2 linked regions of the Nothobranchius furzeri genome follow. The protein of the gene in region 1 interacts with the protein of each later gene in a pairwise test. Links are inferred from orthologs where the notes say so. Each region holds a gene or a part of one and is shown in the gene's direction. Other genes may lie near its edges. The genes, in order: copb1 and copb2.

Region 1 (8,789 bases):
GCATAGTCAGTATGACGGGAAGCTAAAATGTTTTCACTTATACCTTAACTACTAAAACTCTTTACATCTATTTAAATTATCTGTTTAACAAGATTAAATCGATGAGCTATGACATTAACCTTCAGCTCAACGTACATTTCCGATCATACGCCCTCTGGCGGCCAAAGGGCTGAACTGAATCCACGCTAGACTTACAGGGATTTTACGTTTAATAAATTAATGTGTGAACAACTCAAATAAATAAAATAAAAGTAACCAGTAAGACAATATATTTTTACTGTATTGTGTCTAAATAAACTTTTAATTTAATTACTTGTAATCTTTCATTTGATTTGATTGATGGACATGTACTGTCTATATATCTGTTTTATTTATGTCAACTGGATGAAAGCACGAGAACTCAATCCTTCAGTTTCTGGCTTTTGAGAATATGGATTTTTTTCCGCCCTCTAGTGGACACAAGTTGTTAAAGCTCATAAATCTGAACAAGACATAACTTATTAGTGCTTCCTGTAGATATTTCAAAATAAAACATACTGTGGCGGTTATTGGCAGTAACATTGAAACTAACAGTCTTTACGTTATTGTGTCACTAATTGCACAATTTCAATTGAATTTATGTAACTGTTAAACACAATGGTTGTGTGGAGTCAAAGTGCTAAACCCAGCTAGTGACAGTGCAACTAACTCATTTAATTTCCTTCTTGCCACAAAAAAATAAATACAATTTTATAGATATGTGTGTGTGTGTGTGTGTGTGTGTGTGTGTGTGTGTGTGTGTGTGTGTGTGTGTGTGTGTGTGTGTGTGTGTGTGTGTGTGTGTGTGTGTGTGTGTGTAGACAACAGATTTGTCAAAGTCAGCTGTTTGATTACCTCACCAGACTTTTTAACACAAGATAGCAGGAAATGTGTATTTGCTGTTTATAAAATTAATAACGACAGCACATAATTCCATTCAGTCAGACCCTGCATTGTGCACACGGCCCACTGGTCAAGAAGAGGCTGCTCTAATGTCATTAGCTGCACCTGTTCCTGCAACAACTAAATGTCTGCTAAAAGGTCAAAGAACTAATGACGCAAAGCAGTCTGGCCATTTGAACACGATGTAAACTGAGATTGCTCTGTGGTTAAATGTGTTAAACAAAATAATCAGTCAGTGTTAAAGGCTTGTAATCTTGATACCACTTCAACACCTCATGCATAGGTTTGGGTACCATTTCATAAAACTCAGAGGGTTAAAAAAACTCTGATTTAAAATATTTTCTATCTTGTTATTTTCTTCCTTTTTGTTTTTAATTCATTCTGCAAAAATCAGCCAGAGCTACTTTTTTATTGTAGTTTTGTGTATATACTGGACTTCTAAGTTTGGTCAACAAAGAAATGTTTTGGTAACTGTCGACATATTGGCAAACCTATTCAACCCGCACCCTTTGAGGTGTTTCATTGAAAATTTGGAGTCGGTTTCATTCATTCAATTTTCTGTGCACCCACGTTGTCACTCAGCTTAGTTTCCACCGGAGGGCGCTGCACGCCACTTTATTCAGTTGGGTTCCTTTCTGGCAGAAGTGTTTAAATGTTTAATTATAGGCTACAGAAGAAACATCGCAAAACAAACAAACAAACAAAAAAAATTCTGAACTGGATTTTTTTTTACCACGAGGAGGAAATCGATGTAATATGTAAAGTATAAATCTTTACTAATGTTAACTCTTCTAGCAGTACTATATTTATTAATTTTTTAGATATTTCGGCTTTTTTATGTTTTTATGGCAAGTATCCTTGATCAACTGCTGTGATCACATTTCATGCTCAGAATTTGTGTTAAAAATGAAATTTGATATACATAGAAATTTTAAATCCGTTTTAAATACAGCCCATAGTTTTAGTGTCATTTGTTTGCATTTAACAGCAAAACAATCACCAATCATATACATCTAGACACGTTGAAACTGACTTTTCTCTCACTGAAAGGGTGCATTAATACTCAATTTCTCTACTTTTATACTTGTGTTTTTATTGTGTGCTTTTGCATTATAAAAAATCGTGTTTGATTAAAGTCTGAGCAAGTGAATAAGTTACAGGTTTTCGACAACATTTTAAGTAAAAAAAAATTCGAATTATTTTAAAAAGAAAATATGCATGTCTGTAAAATGTGGGATTTTGTCCTTTTTTTCGCGCGTTTGAGCCTTCCGGCGCACCGTAGCAGTGATGTGGCTCAGTGAGCAGTCTTCCACGTTACTAGGAAGTACCCGAGAGCCGACGGGGTAGCCCTAACACCAGGAGCTCTTCTAGTTCTTTTACTCATGCTAATATTTGAAGTTGGGAATTGAAGGCGACCGTTTGGGATAAAAGCCGTGTTTTAGGTAAGTCCTGGAGCATATTATTTTCTAACGTGAGTGGATTTATCCAGTTTTTGCTACCAGCGTTAGCAACTATCAAACGTCCTCCATTTCATTGCAAACCTGGATGAAAGCTAAAGCTACTGTTGGCTAACGGTGGCTGTTTAGCTTCCCATTTTATTTCATTATCAGCCGTGTAGACGACAAAACTAGTTTTTATTATTATTTTTTTTTACAATTCTGTCATGTGCCGCCCATCTACGTTTAGACATTCAACGCAAAGGCGATGACATTTGTGCTTAGCTACGTACTAGCTTATTTCGCTATAGCTGTAACAGCTGCTTAATTATCGTTATTTGTTACAAAACTACTGTCAAAATTAAGTGTTTAAATCATGTGGTAAGAGGCATATGATCATAAAAAATAGCATCTACCTGTGTAACTACAGCGATGACAGGTGCCCTGTAACAAACTTTAAATTTCTCATCTTTTTACAGCTGTAGGTTTTGTCATTGCCAGTTTGATCACTACAGCAAAATGTTTAAACTCTCTCATCGACTGTTTAGCAGAAATTTAAAACTTAAAGGCAACAGTCAATGTGTGAAAATCAAGGTTTGTGAATGAAGTCTTGATCAAGATGAAAACATAAATTGCACCACCTCAAGTTGTATATTTCTAATATAAACCTCTCAGTTAGATAGATTTAGCATTGAACCAGCAACCCTCCAAATAAAGCAGCCTGGCCAATTGCTACACCAATTTTAATGAAGGCTATTGATTTAATTCAATGTGTTAGTCTTTTTTGTTCATTAGGTTTCTTGCAGAAACAATGAAAAAAGTTAACTGAGGAGTTTTATACTTTTTTAAAGGTGCATTATATAGAAATTAAGTGTAGTAAAATTTGGTTACTGAAACCACTTAAAACAACTCTGGAGCTTTTTGCCGGCCGTCGTCAAATTATAATTGTCGGCGCTGCAGTATTAGCTCGCAGGAGACACAGCAACCCCACACTCACTGATGGTAAACAGTAGGGATGGACAATGTATTGATATCGGTATCGGCCGATGTTAGTCATTTTTAACATATCGTATCGGTCCGATTAAAAAAAAGAAAAAACGGGCCAATATTATCAACCAATATTTTTTCCATCTTGTCTCCATTTGTTTGCCTGTTTCAGAGGGTGAGGGGGGTGATGTGTGATTGTTTAGTCATGTGAACTGTGAATGAAATCATCTCGGAAGTGTAAATGTGTGTGTTGTGTGTTCATAATAACCTAAATTCAGCTTTAATAATTTTCATTCTATACAAAATCTGCTGATTTTAGAAGCATTGATGTCAGTGTGTCGGTATCTGCAAATATTGGTTTTTGGCCAGAACAGTGATCTTGATATTGGTATTGGCCCAAAAATGTCATATCGGTGCATTACTAGTAAACAGTAGTAACGTCCCTCCTTCCTTTGTTTTGAAAGGAGGAAAACTGACAATTCCTGCAGCCAGCTGGATATGAAACATGTTTCAGTATAACCTTCCGTCCAAAATCACTGAAACTTTAAACTCTTTTGGGATTTTCTCACTGCAAAATTCTCACTATATTCTTACATACTGCACCTTTAACTTCAAAGTGATTGCTTCTCTTATTGATTTGTTTAAATGTGACGAATGTGATGTGTTTTTGTTTCCTCACGTTGTTTCCAGCCTCTGTGTAGATGTCTTTATACTTATTTCCAACATCTTTTGTCATTCAGCATTTGTTTTATCAGCCATTTTTTAACATTTATTTTCCATATTTGCAGGTATTACACTGAAGGGAACTTTACTGGGATTCTTCTAAATCCACCCCGTCCAACAGGCAGCAAAAATGACGGCTGCAGAAAACGTTTGTTACACACTGATCAATGTTCAGTCGGACTCTGAGCCTCCTTCTGAAGTCAGCTTAAAAACAGATCTGGGTAAAATTTCTTCTTGAGATTTTACAAAACGATTTCCTTGTTAACTGTAGTAAAGATGTAAACTTTTGTAATAATTTCTGATTGTGTATAAAGTAATAATTTAACTGGGATCAAAGATTGGATCTATTCAAAACATTTTAAAACTCGTCTTCATGTAAAATGTTAGCTGAAGGCAGGTGTCGTCAGGTAGAGATTTGAACAAATGAAATGTTTTGACATAATTCTAATGTCTTCCAGAAAAGGGAGAGATCAAAGCAAAGACCGAAGCCCTGAAGAAGGTCATAATCATGATCTTGAACGGTGAGAAGTTGCCTGGACTGCTCATGACTATAATTCGCTTCGTGCTGCCACTTCAAGACCACACCATCAAGAAGCTTCTCCTTGTTTTCTGGGAGATTGTTCCTAAGACGACTCCAGATGGCAAGCTGCTTCAGGAGATGATTCTTGTCTGTGATGCTTACAGGAAGGTAAGCTGGGGAATTGTTTTTATTTTCCACATCATTTTCAGCTGGAATAATAGCTGAACAGCTAAAATGATACGTTTGTTCTCAGTACTCTTATTAAAACAAGATTGCAATAATCGTTTCTTTTTTTATTTTAGGACCTTCAGCATCCCAATGAGTTCATCCGCGGCTCCACTCTGCGTTTCCTGTGCAAGCTGAAGGAGTCTGAGCTACTTGAGCCTCTCATGCCAGCGATCCGGGCCTGCCTGGAGCACCGTCACAGCTACGTGCGCAGAAATGCAGTCCTGGCCATCTACACCATCTACAGGTACCGATATTTTCCTGTCTTGTAATCTTCTGCCAGTGCAGATCAATAATCAGCTTTTTTATTTTAGGAACTTTGAGCATCTCATCCCAGACGCTCCAGAATTGATTCATGATTTCCTCGTGAATGAGAAGGACGCCAGCTGTAAGAGAAACGCCTTCATGATGCTGATTCATGCAGATCAGGTTGGTGGACCACTGAGCTTTAGGGGTGGGAGTTTTTAGGCCTGTCGTGATTTGGTTCAATCAGGACTCAGAGGGTTGTAACGCAGTTATGAAACTATTATTACTGAATCTAGATTTTTATTCAGAAACGTTTACATCTGCTTCACGGTGCATTTAAAAATAGATTCTCCTCCCTTAGTCCTTATAACATCCGTCTAACGAATTGTTAGCTCAACTGTGTAACCCCCCCCACAGGATCGCGCTCTGGATTACCTCAGCACATGCATTGACCAGGTTCACACTTTTGGTGACATCTTGCAGCTCGTCATCGTTGAGCTGATTTACAAGGTGAGTGGGCATTTTACTAGACTAAGTCAGGCCTTTAGGGCAAAGTAGCAAACAGATTTAACATTTGAGTTCTTGTGCTCTTTGGCTAGGTTTGCCACGCTAACCCCTCGGAGCGTGCTCGATTTATTCGTTGCATCTATAACCTGCTTCAGTCCTCAAGTCCAGCTGTTAAATATGAGGCTGCTGGTACTCTTGTGACCCTGTCCAGCGCTCCCACCGCCATCAAGGTACAGCTTCACAATTTGATTTGTGGTTTTCATGTGCATCATAAGCCGGTGATACTGATGTTGCACTGCTTTTGAGTAAGTCAGCCATTCCTCTGCTTTAATGAATTCTGTGGTTTTGTTGGGGGGGGGGGACTCCAGGCTGCAGCGCAGTGTTACATCGATTTAATTATTAAAGAGAGCGACAACAACGTGAAGCTGATTGTTCTCGATCGTCTGATTGAACTGAAGGAGCATCCCACTCATGAGCGTGTGCTTCAGGTGGGTTTAGTTACAGGTGTTTAGTTTTTGTGTTGCTTTGTTTTTCAAACATTTTCACTGTCTTTTTTTTTTTTTTTTACATATTATTTAGTTTGATATTCTTAAATGTATTGAAATACTTTTAAAAAGTTTACTTCTGTCCAAAAGTTGAACTAAAGGTGACATGTTATGCAAAGCTCACCGTTTGCATCCTTTTACGCCGTCATGTGGGTCTACTGCCTCTATAAACACTCCAAACATTAAAAAAAAAGCATCCATCTATTTTTCAGTCAGTACTTGGCCAAAAACTATAACAAGCCGTTTCTAAAAGTTCCTGTTTGTGATGTCACGTTTGTAGTGATGGGTACCGAATTCGGTACTTTTTAAGGTACCGACCGAATTCCATAGTACCGACCGAGCACCGATTCACGTCGTTTCAAACGGTGCCTCGTTTCGGTACCCGTCCTTCCTAACGAGAACTTGCCTAGACAGCTGCGCATGCGCAAGAGCGTTATGTCGTCGGTCCCTGCGAGCCAGTTGTAAACAGAGCAGTATGATAGAAAGAATGCACGCTAAAGCTTGGGTCCACTTCACTAAATGTGATGGGTAACTGGGTGATGATGAAACCAGCGACAACGATCTAAGTGAGACATCCTCATCTTAATCTGCTCCGGTAGGTAAATAAAATGTTTAAGATAACGTTAGCTTGATATGTTAGCTTCCGTTTCGCTAATGGTGCGTTCACTTTCTCCTCGGAACTCCGAATTTCTGACTAGAAGAACATGAACGCGCTCTAAAGTTTGGCTTCACTTTACTAAATGCGACGGGTGATTGGGTGAAGATGAAACCAGCAACAACGATCTAAGTGTTAGGCATCATCGTTTTAATCTGCTTCAGCAGTTAAATAAACTGTTTAAGATAACGTTAGCTTGATATGTTAGCCTCCATTGCCACCGTTGTTATCAGCTAATGGTGCGTTCGCTTTCTCCTGGGAAATTCTAACTTCCCAGTAGGAAAAATCAAATGAAAAAGGACGGCAAAAGGAATGAAGATACACAGTAAATTTAGTTCACAGTAAAGATGTTTGCTTCAGTTTAATTATCAGCTTATAAAACTACAAGGACGATGTTAAAATACAAACAGTTGTATGTTATTTATCGTGATATTTATCAAATATGGTTATATGTTGAGAAAAATATATATTTAATTATAAAAGAGAATTAAAAATATTAAACACTCAAAAGTATCGAAAATTGGTACCGTTAAGTACCGGTATCGATTCGTAGGTACCGGGAATTAGTACCGGATCAATTCAAATGTCAAAGGTACCCATCCCTACACGTTTGGGGACTTTAGTGAAGATCACGTCTCACTTCTAAGAGTAGAGCTGCTGCTGGAGGAGCAGCGGTGGCTCTACTCTTAGCTCCTCCCGGATATCAGAGCTTCTTATCTTCTAGCAGCCTGACTGGGTGTATCCAGCTCCCGCTTGTTATTTAAAGTGACAGAGCTCTGAAACTGCTGAAATTGTCAGGAATACAACTGCTCAGATTGCTTTATGTGAGAGAGGTTTAGTCTAAAAAACTTCATAAACGTGTTGATAATAAACCCTAGAACTATTATAACTTCAACTGGAGCTTCACTGACAAACCAATTTTTACTTATTATTTTTGATCCATCACTCTTGAGTTTTTATGCAGGCCAAACATGTAAATAGTCTCCTACATAGGGTTCTGATTCCAAATCATCGTTTCGATTCCGGTTCCTATAGATTCTTTCAAGAGGCAGGATCCAAAAACGACATGTTTGAAATGAGCCAGCTAATTGTAGGTCTTACTCGAAATGATCTGAATTTCAACGTGATCTTTTAATTCTACGAACAATAACATCACCTTAAGTTAAACATCACTTCATCAGTCTTGGCAAGCGCGTTTGTTTACATTTTTGCTGCCGTGTACCGGGTGTGAGGGAAGGAAGGGTGGGGATGCGATGCTGCACTCAGGATCTCTACGAGCTGAAAAGTAGAAGCGAAAGGCAGGTGGTATGATCGGCTCTGAAAAGCATTGATCAGAATCAGCAGATCAGGTTTTTTTAACGGAGCTCGGCCGCAGATTCTTCTTCCGGTCGGCGGACTGGGATTCGATATAAAAACATTTCAACACGGTGCCCAACCCTACTTCTACACCTATCTCCTGCATTAGCCTCTGATAGAAAATAGACGGTGAAGGCTGTTGTTGGTTTAGCGTCCAGGAAACATCAGAGAACATCTCAACTAGTAGAAGCTAACTGCTAGCATTAGAAACTCCATCACACAGCAAAACTCCTTCAGGCGTGTGTAATTTGTGGAGGTAAAACATCAACGTTGCTGAGCAAACTTGAGTCTGTGGTAGAGTCGTGTTGCTGTTAGCCAATCAGAGGCGAGATGTCCAAATATGACATGAAATAAGACTCTAAATCCTGTCTTGCTCACCTCAACTCTGATCTAGCTCACTTCTAGTTCTTCAAACAGGCCCACTGAAGCTTCTTTTCCCTAGAGAATGACTTACAAGACATTCATACTAGACCACAGCAAATGTGCTGAAATATGAGTGGCTCTTCCTAAAGCTATTCTATATGTTGTTGGTTAAATCTAACGTTAGTTGTCACTACTTTTATCTTTATTTAGGACCTGGTGATGGACATCCTGCGTGTCCTCAGCACTCCTGACCTAGAGGTCAGAAAGAAAACCCTGCAGCTGGCTCTGGATCTTGTCTCATCTCG
Region 2 (8,789 bases), on another chromosome or scaffold:
CAGAAATCTCCAAAGTTAGGGTGAAAGAGTAAAATGATAATTACCATATTAATTAATTAATTGGGTCTGGAAGAGAGTGGGTTTTCTCCCTTCTTTAAAAAAGAATAAAAAATTATCCCTGCCGATTGCTTAAGAGCAATAAACTCACTCATCAATAGTTATCTGGCCCTGTGCCCTCTGACTTACATAAAAGCAAGAGAACAACCTGCCCTGCCCCTTAACTTTGCCCCAGGTCTGCTCACCGCAGCATCACCACCATGCCTGCAGACTTCAATGGGAAATGGACACTGGAGAGCAGTGACAAATTTGAGGATTACTTGAAAACTCTGAGTAAGAAACTTCACTTCACATTTCTGAACATTCAGAAGAGATGAGCTGCACCTGCTGTGAGAGTGAGATGATAATATTCCGCATAATGAAAACTCTCCACGCTGCATTCCCAGATATCGACTTTGCTACTAGAAAAATTGCCATCTCGCTGTCTCAGACTAAGGTGATCGTTCAAGATGGAGACAAGTTTGACTTCAAAACGCTCAGCACGTTCAGGAATTATGAGCACGCTTTCACTGTAGGAGTGGAGTGGGATGAGTACACCAAGGGGCTGGACAACCGGCATGTCAAGGTTGGTCCACCTCTCATCTATAGGGTCTAATAATATATAATAATATAATACTATTGGCCAGTATTTTCTTAAATTCACATCAAAAGGTGCTTTTCTGTATCTGACAACCCTAAATAATCCCTGTCCTACCTCTCATAATCCCTGGGCTAAATATGCACTTTGTTATAGAAAAGTTCAGGGTCAAAATATTTTACATTTATGTTTTTTCTGGTTTCATTTAGTCTTTTTTTGTCAAAAAACACTTTTTAAAATCTTTTTTGTCTACAAAGGTTGGGGGTGTGTAATGAGTAGCCACAGAAGCTCTGATGCCCACTGATAAACTCTGAGCCAAGGGCTTAGCTGTTTGTTTCAGCTCTGGTTGTGTAATTAATAAACTATTGTGTCATTCTGGGACATCTCTGATTATCTGTGAGAGTTCATCTGTTCACTCCACTGATTTTCTTCTGCCTTTTATTATAGTGAACATTTCTTTTTGTTTTCAGCCTCCCTGTATGTGAAACAGTAATACAGGCACTCTATTTGGTCACTGGTTATGTCGTGTTAGTGGTGATGTTTGACGACGTCAGGTTTTCTTTACTTATAGTTTATTAACTAAAGGAATTACAGATATAACATAAATAACTTATTGCTAATTCAGTCTGCATCAATTAGAGAATATTTGTGATTACCCACTAGGCTGTCAAAATAAGGAGACTTGTGTACTTGTGTACTCTAATCTCTTTATTGTACTGATATTTTACTTAATTAAATAATTTGAATATAAATGTTTTTTGTAGAGTTTGGTAAGATGGGAGGGGGACACACTTGTGTGCACGCAGAAAGGAGAAAAATGCAACCGCGGCTGGAAACACTGGATTGAAGGAGACAAACTCTACCTGGTGGGTCTTGAACTACAGTCATGTTAAGGTTGCTTTATCAAATCAAAGATACTTTATTGATCCCAGAGGGAAATTAGCCATGCTGAATAATACTGAGAGTTTTTGTTTCACAGGAGCTGACATGTGAAGATGTGATTTGTGTTCAAGTGTTCAAAAGAAAATAATAGCGTCTGTCCTTATTGTCACTAGGTTGATAAAAAATAGAATCTACATGTTTTCCAAGCATTTTGAATCAATAAATGATCTTTAATTATTCATTGTGTTGTATTTTATTTGTTAGCGTGCAAATCCCTCATTCTGTCAAGGCAACAACACATGTGTTTGGAATAATTTAGAAGAGTTTTGCTTCTAGTTTAACTTTAAAAACCCAGTTCCTTTTTCTGCTTTTACTCATCTTCCTCATCATCCTTAATTTTATTATTCCCAAGAGGACAAAATGGAAGATTAACATTTTTTACAGCTTAATTAAGATAAGGAGGCTGAAATATTTTCTTCTAAATGGGTCACGGGTTCGATTCCAGCTCCCGCCAGGTGTATCCTGCTGTCGTGTCCTTGGGCAAGACACTTCACCCAACTTGCCTGTGTTAGTGGTGGTCAGAGGGGCCGACGGCGCCAAATGGCAGCCTCGCCTCTGTCAGACCTCCCCAGGGCGGCTGTGGCTACAAGTAGCTTACCATCACTAGCAGTGTGTGAATGTGAGAGTGTGTGAAAGCGTCTTTGGGTGTCTTGAAAGCGCTATATAAGTTCAATGCATTATTATTATTATTATTAAAAAAATAAAAAAAAGTACCCGCGTTCAGACACTGGAGGGCAGCAACTCCCCATCTCCCCGTCTTTTATAAATGCTGTTGGAAACCAAAGTGTTGTTCTGTTGTTTTGCCAGTAGAGGGCACAAGTTCTCCGTTCTGTCAAGGCAACAAAACATTTTATTTGGAAGAATTTAGAGAAAGTGTTTTTACTAAGTAACAATTTAAATTAAAAAATCCTGTTCCTTCTTCTGCTTCTACTCATCCTTCTTCTCATCCTTAATAGTAATACTCCCAAGAAGATTAAGATAAGGAAGCTGTGTCCAGGACGAACCAAGACCCCCAACCTTTACCCTCATGAACACATCAAAAGTGAATAATTACAAGCTTTATACAGGCATACTAAGATATACTTCTTATGCAGAGTTTTGATTATACGATTTGGTGTGTTTTGGGGCTTTTATACATTTAACTTTTGAAAATATAATCTTGGTAATCCCACACCCCACTGTAATCTTTGGGTTTCACGGATCCCAGGTTGCGAACCACTGAGTTAGAATAAATATTAAAATTACAAGCTTAAATATTGTTTAAAAAATGTCCATGTAATTCAGTAACTTTATTTGAGTTACAACAGCAACTTGCAACCTACAAAAAATAAAAAAATAAAAAAATAACTTGCAACCTACAAGCTTCCATGTCACGTCAGCAGTTCCAACACAGTTCTCGCGAGATTTCGTTTCAGGAAGTTCCACGTCAGTGTCCTGCAGAACGCTGCTCACTGAAATCGCAACATTTGGACTCGATTGGACGTTAATCGGATCTAGCAAAGACATCCAGGGCGGAAAATATGGTAAGCTGTAGTTTAGAAAGTTATAAGTGTGCTTCTTTTCGATAAATGTCACCCGAGATTCAGTTTAATCTTTAAACAAAAAGAATGAAATGCTTAAAAGAGCCTAGCGGCTAACTAGCTTAAGTTTGCATAGAATATTGTCTCTCAAACACGTTTAAACCTAAATGTTAATGTCACATATATCTATCCTTATTTTTCAACGAATTAGTCACAGATGAATGTGTGACTGATCAACTGAAATAGCGAAAAAAACAGTTTTAATTTCATTTGTTTCTGATGATTGATACATTGGTGTTAAGTTGACGTTCTGCTACTACTAGCTAACAGCAACAAAGTACAGTTTGAATAGTGTCTATTAACACATTGGGTTTATTTTTATTTAAGCCTCTGAGGCTGGACATCAAGAGGAGGCTAACAGCCAGGTCGGACCGGGTCAAGAGTGTGGATCTTCACCCAACCGAGCCATGGATGTTGGCCAGTTTGTACAACGGCAGTGTCTGTGTGTGGAACCACGAAACGCAAGTATGGAATACACCCAAAGAGTAAAACCTTTGATCTGTGCACCATATAAACAAACAAATATGTGAAAAACATCTATAAAAATCACAATCAAAGTCGATCTGTTTTTATTCCAGACTCTGGTCAAGACGTTTGAAGTGTGTGACCTGCCTGTCAGAGCTTCCAAGTTTGTGGCAAGAAAGAACTGGGTGATCACAGGAGCAGTGAGTCACAGGAATTTATTTGTTTTGAGCCTACACCTCTAAAAGCTTCTGTAATATATATATATATATATATATATATATATATATATATATGTATATATATATATATATATATATATATATGTATATATATATATATATATATATGTATATATATATATATATATATATGTATATATATATGTATATATATATATATATGTATATATATATGTATATATATATATATATGTATATATATATGTATATTAGTGTAAAACTGCTATTTGATGTTATTTTAGAGTTAAAACTTTTACTAGAAAACTTAGGAAAAACTACACTTTTCTACTTTATTCATAATTTCTTTTCTCTTCACAGGATGACATGCAGATCCGTGTGTTCAACTACAACACCTTGGAGCGGGTCCACATGTTTGAAGCCCACTCTGACTACATCCGTTGCATTGCTGTCCATCCAACTCAGCCATACATCCTCACTAGCAGTGGTACACTATTTACCCTACTAAACCTATATTTTCTACAGCTTTAAATGCAGCTGTGGCTCTGATTAGGCTTATGTATCCTTTTTTTGGGCACTTGAGCGTGATTGTGTTTTATCTTTGTGCAGACGACATGCTGATCAAGCTTTGGGATTGGGAGAAAAAGTGGACATGCAGTCAGGTGTTTGAGGGTCACACTCATTACGTCATGCAGATCGTCATCAACCCCAAGGACAACAACCAGTTTGCGAGCGCTTCTCTGGACAGAACCATAAAGGTAGATTTTTCTGTTTGTGCAAATGGATAAATGGAATGTAAAACTGTATATAAGTGTAGATTATTGTTTTTAATGAATGTGTGTAAGATCAACAGCTCCTTTATATTTGATTTGGTGCAAAGGAGTCAGTGGTAAGAAGCGTACTGTGTCTGATTATTTTTGTACAGTTCTCTCTCTCTTTGTGTTGTACAGGTTTGGCAGCTGGGCTCCTCATCTCCTAATTTCACTCTGGAGGGTCACGAAAAGGGAGTAAACTGTATTGACTACTACAGTGGAGGAGACAAGCCCTATCTGATATCAGGGGCTGATGACCGCCAAGTCAAAATTTGGGACTACCAGGTTAGAGAAGTTTTATTTGGTTATAGTTATAGTGGCATGTACACAGAATTTAAAGTAAGTCACCAAATGGGGAAAACTGCATTAATTTGAAAAAGTACAGACTATTTGTTTTATCTCGCATTAGAAAAAGCCCAAGTTAGGTATGGTGATTTTATTTTTTGGTCTTTGTAAGTTTTATCTAGCATTTCCTCTACATACATTTATATCCCTCTTTCTCTGTGTGTTGTAGAACAAGACTTGTGTTCAGACTCTGGAAGGTCATGCCCAAAATGTCTCGTGTGTCAGCTTCCACCCAGAACTACCCATAATCATCACGGGATCAGAGGATGGTGAGAAAAAATCTCCCTCAACCATAAAATCCACAGGAACGTCCTCTCCTTATGTTGTTGTTTTGTGCAATATCGTCGTCTTTCCTCTCCAGGTACGGTTCGAATCTGGCACTCGAGTACTTATCGCCTGGAAAGCACCCTGAACTACGGCATGGAACGAGTGTGGTGTGTGTGTGGCCTCAGGGGATCCAACAATGTGGCACTGGGATACGATGAAGGCAGCATCATCATCAAAGTGAGTAAAAGGAAGATTTAATCTAAAGTTGGATTAAACTAATGCCTCAAAATTAACTTTTTAAAAGAAATCCACATTAAAATGAAATAAACGGTAAAAGTAAAAATGTGTACGCTTGTTTTACTCTGCGGTGTAGGTTGGTCGGGAGGAGCCAGCCATGTCTATGGACACTAATGGCAAAATCATCTGGGCTAAGCACAGTGAAATACAGCAGGCTAACCTGAAGGCTATGGGGGATGCAGAAATCAAAGATGGGGAGAGACTGCCACTGGCTGTCAAAGACATGGGTAGCTGTGAGATTTACCCTCAAACCATCCAGCATAACCCTAATGGAAGGTAAAAACACGCGTTTCACTTGTGACAGCCCCAGAAAGTCATCACTCGTCATCCGAATTTTGTTGAATGTGGAAGAAATTCTGTTGATTTGTCGTTGTTATGTGTGTACTAGATTTGTTGTTGTGTGCGGAGATGGAGAGTACATCATTTATACTGCCATGGCTTTGAGGAACAAGAGCTTCGGCTCAGCTCAAGAGTTTGTCTGGGCACACGACTCCTCCGAGTACGTCCACACGGAAAAGATGTTTTTATCATCCTTCTGGGTGGTGATTTTGAGTCACTGTTGTTTAACATTTGCTGTTTGTCTTCCTTTAACAGATACGCCATCAGAGAGAGCAACAGTGTTGTCAAAATCTTCAAAAACTTCAAAGAAAAGAAATCTTTTAAGCCAGATTTTGGAGCAGAAGGTAATCAGACGAGTGCCGTTGGCTAGATTTCCAGATTGAAGACGGTCGTTTTATTCACTGGATCTGCATTTCTGCTCTGCAGGGATCTACGGGGGGTTCTTGCTGGGAGTTAGGTCGGTGAACGGACTGGCGTTTTACGACTGGGAGAACACAGAGCTGATCCGTCGCATTGAGATCCAGCCCAAGCATGTAAGACTTGAGTTACCTTGTCCTTTTACATACATGATACTCTATTTGAATCACGCTTTAAATGTTTTAGTCTGATTTTTCTTTTCTTTTTTTTTTTTTTTGGCTTGTTCAGATCTTTTGGTCAGACTCGGGGGAATTGGTCTGCATTGCTACGGAGGAGTCCTTCTTCATTCTACGTTACCTGGCAGAGAAAGTAGCCGCCTCCCAAGAAAACAACGAAGGTGTGACAGAGGACGGGATTGAAGATGCCTTTGAGGTCAGTGTGTAGATGAATGCCCGTTGCGGGAAGCCCGTATTTTTAACGCATTGTTCACCTGGCAGCTGTGTCTCTTTGCAGTGTTTGTAGCACGTTCCTAATAAACTAGAGGGAGCTGTTTTAAACTGACAGTTACTGAGCCGTACTGGTGTGTCTTTTGCGTGTATTATTTGCTAACCTTTTGTATGAATGTCCTATCCTCAGGTCCAGGGGGAGATCCAGGAGATTGTGAAGACTGGACTTTGGGTGGGAGACTGCTTTATCTACACCAGCTCTGTGAACAGACTCAATTACTTTGTAGGAGGAGAAATTGTGACTATTGCACATCTGGACAGGTAAGAACAGGTTGTTTAGGCCTTACTTATATAGGATAAGACCATGCAAGCACTACATTTACATTTATCAGAAAAAAGCAGTTCAGCGTCGATAAACGGACAGTCACACCTAGATAAAGAAGTAACACTAAACACTGGTGCGTAGTTCCATCCACAGTTTTTATTGTCCTTGCAGAACCATGTACCTGCTGGGTTACATACCAAAGGATGACCGGCTGTACCTCGGAGACAAGGAGCTCAACATAGTCAGTTATTCACTGTTGGTCTCTGTCCTGGAATACCAGACTGCTGTAATGAGAAGGGACTTTGGAATGGCAGACAAGGTGCTACCAACTATTCCTAAAGAGCAGAGGACCAGAGTGGCTCATTTCCTGGAGAAACAGGTGATGAAAACCCATAAAGACCTGCAATTATTTAATTTTTTATTTATTTTGCTCCTCATCAATGAACAGATGTGGTTTTAATTTGACACTGATGGTTTTATTTGTCTCGTCAGGGCTTCAAGCAGCAGGCTCTGGCGGTGTCTACAGACCCGGAGCACAGATTTGAGTTGGCCCTGCAGCTGGGAGAGCTGAAGATCGCCTACCAGCTGGCTGTCGAAGCAGAGGTTAGAGCTTTTGTCTCCTCACGTCGTTTTCTCGTTACTTTTCCAAACACTTTTTGTATTTGTGACTCATGTCATCACTGCTAACAAAATGTGTTTCTCTGCAGTCGGAGCAAAAATGGAAGCAGCTTGCAGAGCTGGCCATCAGTAAGTGCCAGTTCGGCCTGGCCCAGGAGTGCCTGCACCACGCTCAGGATTACGGTGGCCTGCTGCTCCTCGCCACAGCTTCTGGTAATGCCACCATGGTGGGCAAGCTGGCCGAAGGGGCAGAAAGAGACGGCAAGAACAACGTGGCCTTCATGACCTACTTTCTTCAGGGGAAGTGAGTATTTGATGTGGTGACAAACATGGTGTGCAGTAATTATAAGAAGATTCTGGATCATGTACGTACATATTCTTCTCTAGATTGGACCAATGTTTGGAGCTTCTGATCAGGACTAACAGACTTCCAGAAGCTGCCTTCCTGGCTCGCACATACCTGCCCAGCCAGGTGTCGCGTGTAGTCAAATTGTGGAGGGAGAATTTAGCCAAAGTCAACCAGAAGGTCAGATCTGGCATCAAGATCTTTGATTATATGATTTGCAAAGAGAAAAGTAGTTTGGACGCTTTAACCAAGCCTCTGTTGCAGGCAGCTGATTCATTAGCCGACCCTACCGAGTACGAGAATCTGTTCCCTGGGCTGAAAGAAGCGTTTGCAGCTGAATATTACCTGAGGGAAAGCTGCTTGGGCAGCTCCAGACCTGCTAAAGATTATCCTCTTGTTACAGTAAGTTTGACCTCTTAAAGAGCAAGTCACCCCCTACCAGTCTTACACCACTCCCACTTCCTGTTTGAAAAATGCAACAAATGCTGTTGCCTGGCAGACCGAGAGGGCGGAGCTGCTAACAAATACACACACAGGTTCACAAGGTCATTGTGACATCATAATGTCCCAGCTAACATCATAGTGTACCTCTTAGCCAAAAGCGATGGCAGATTTGAATTGAAATGCAGTGCAGAGTTTTTACCTGAAGAGGGCACAACACTGACAGTTTTAGACAGAATATTTAAATTTGAACTAAGATGCACTCAAGTGCCAAATTATTGACTACATGTGTCTTCAGCATGATTAGATACTCATTTATGTAGTTTGTCAGCAAAATAAAGTTGATTTGGAGGTGACTTGCTCTTTAAGTAAATTTTA

What was found.
Region 2: the proteins of copb1 (region 1) and copb2 interact in a two-hybrid assay, tested with the Homo sapiens proteins (2 studies listed by BioGRID, with this or other methods). The link is inferred for Nothobranchius furzeri from reciprocal best matches to the Homo sapiens genes COPB1 and COPB2.

What each region holds. Positions count from the first base shown.
Region 1 is NC_091749.1:61,887,671-61,896,459, reverse strand, and holds the start of copb1 (coatomer subunit beta), read left to right. Parts: upstream 1-2,206; 5' UTR 2,207-2,363; intron 2,364-4,132; 5' UTR 4,133-4,197; coding exon 4,198-4,288; intron 4,289-4,525; coding exon 4,526-4,755; intron 4,756-4,889; coding exon 4,890-5,059; intron 5,060-5,126; coding exon 5,127-5,241; intron 5,242-5,475; coding exon 5,476-5,568; intron 5,569-5,657; coding exon 5,658-5,795; intron 5,796-5,933; coding exon 5,934-6,053; intron 6,054-8,694; coding exon 8,695-8,789. UniProt on the Homo sapiens protein: The coatomer is a cytosolic protein complex that binds to dilysine motifs and reversibly associates with Golgi non-clathrin-coated vesicles, which further mediate biosynthetic protein transport from the ER, via the Golgi up to the trans Golgi network.
Region 2 is NC_091751.1:58,293,276-58,302,064, reverse strand, and holds the start of copb2 (coatomer subunit beta'), read left to right. Parts: upstream 1-2,967; 5' UTR 2,968-3,096; coding exon 3,097-3,099; intron 3,100-3,483; coding exon 3,484-3,621; intron 3,622-3,734; coding exon 3,735-3,821; intron 3,822-4,178; coding exon 4,179-4,305; intron 4,306-4,427; coding exon 4,428-4,576; intron 4,577-4,768; coding exon 4,769-4,915; intron 4,916-5,144; coding exon 5,145-5,244; intron 5,245-5,336; coding exon 5,337-5,479; intron 5,480-5,615; coding exon 5,616-5,815; intron 5,816-5,927; coding exon 5,928-6,038; intron 6,039-6,133; coding exon 6,134-6,222; intron 6,223-6,304; coding exon 6,305-6,411; intron 6,412-6,523; coding exon 6,524-6,667; intron 6,668-6,871; coding exon 6,872-7,002; intron 7,003-7,177; coding exon 7,178-7,385; intron 7,386-7,498; coding exon 7,499-7,609; intron 7,610-7,713; coding exon 7,714-7,928; intron 7,929-8,011; coding exon 8,012-8,150; intron 8,151-8,234; coding exon 8,235-8,372; intron 8,373-8,789. Other genes in the region: retinol-binding protein 2-like, read left to right, coding at 258-330, 444-622, 1,399-1,500, 1,614-1,664. UniProt on the Homo sapiens protein: The coatomer is a cytosolic protein complex that binds to dilysine motifs and reversibly associates with Golgi non-clathrin-coated vesicles, which further mediate biosynthetic protein transport from the ER, via the Golgi up to the trans Golgi network.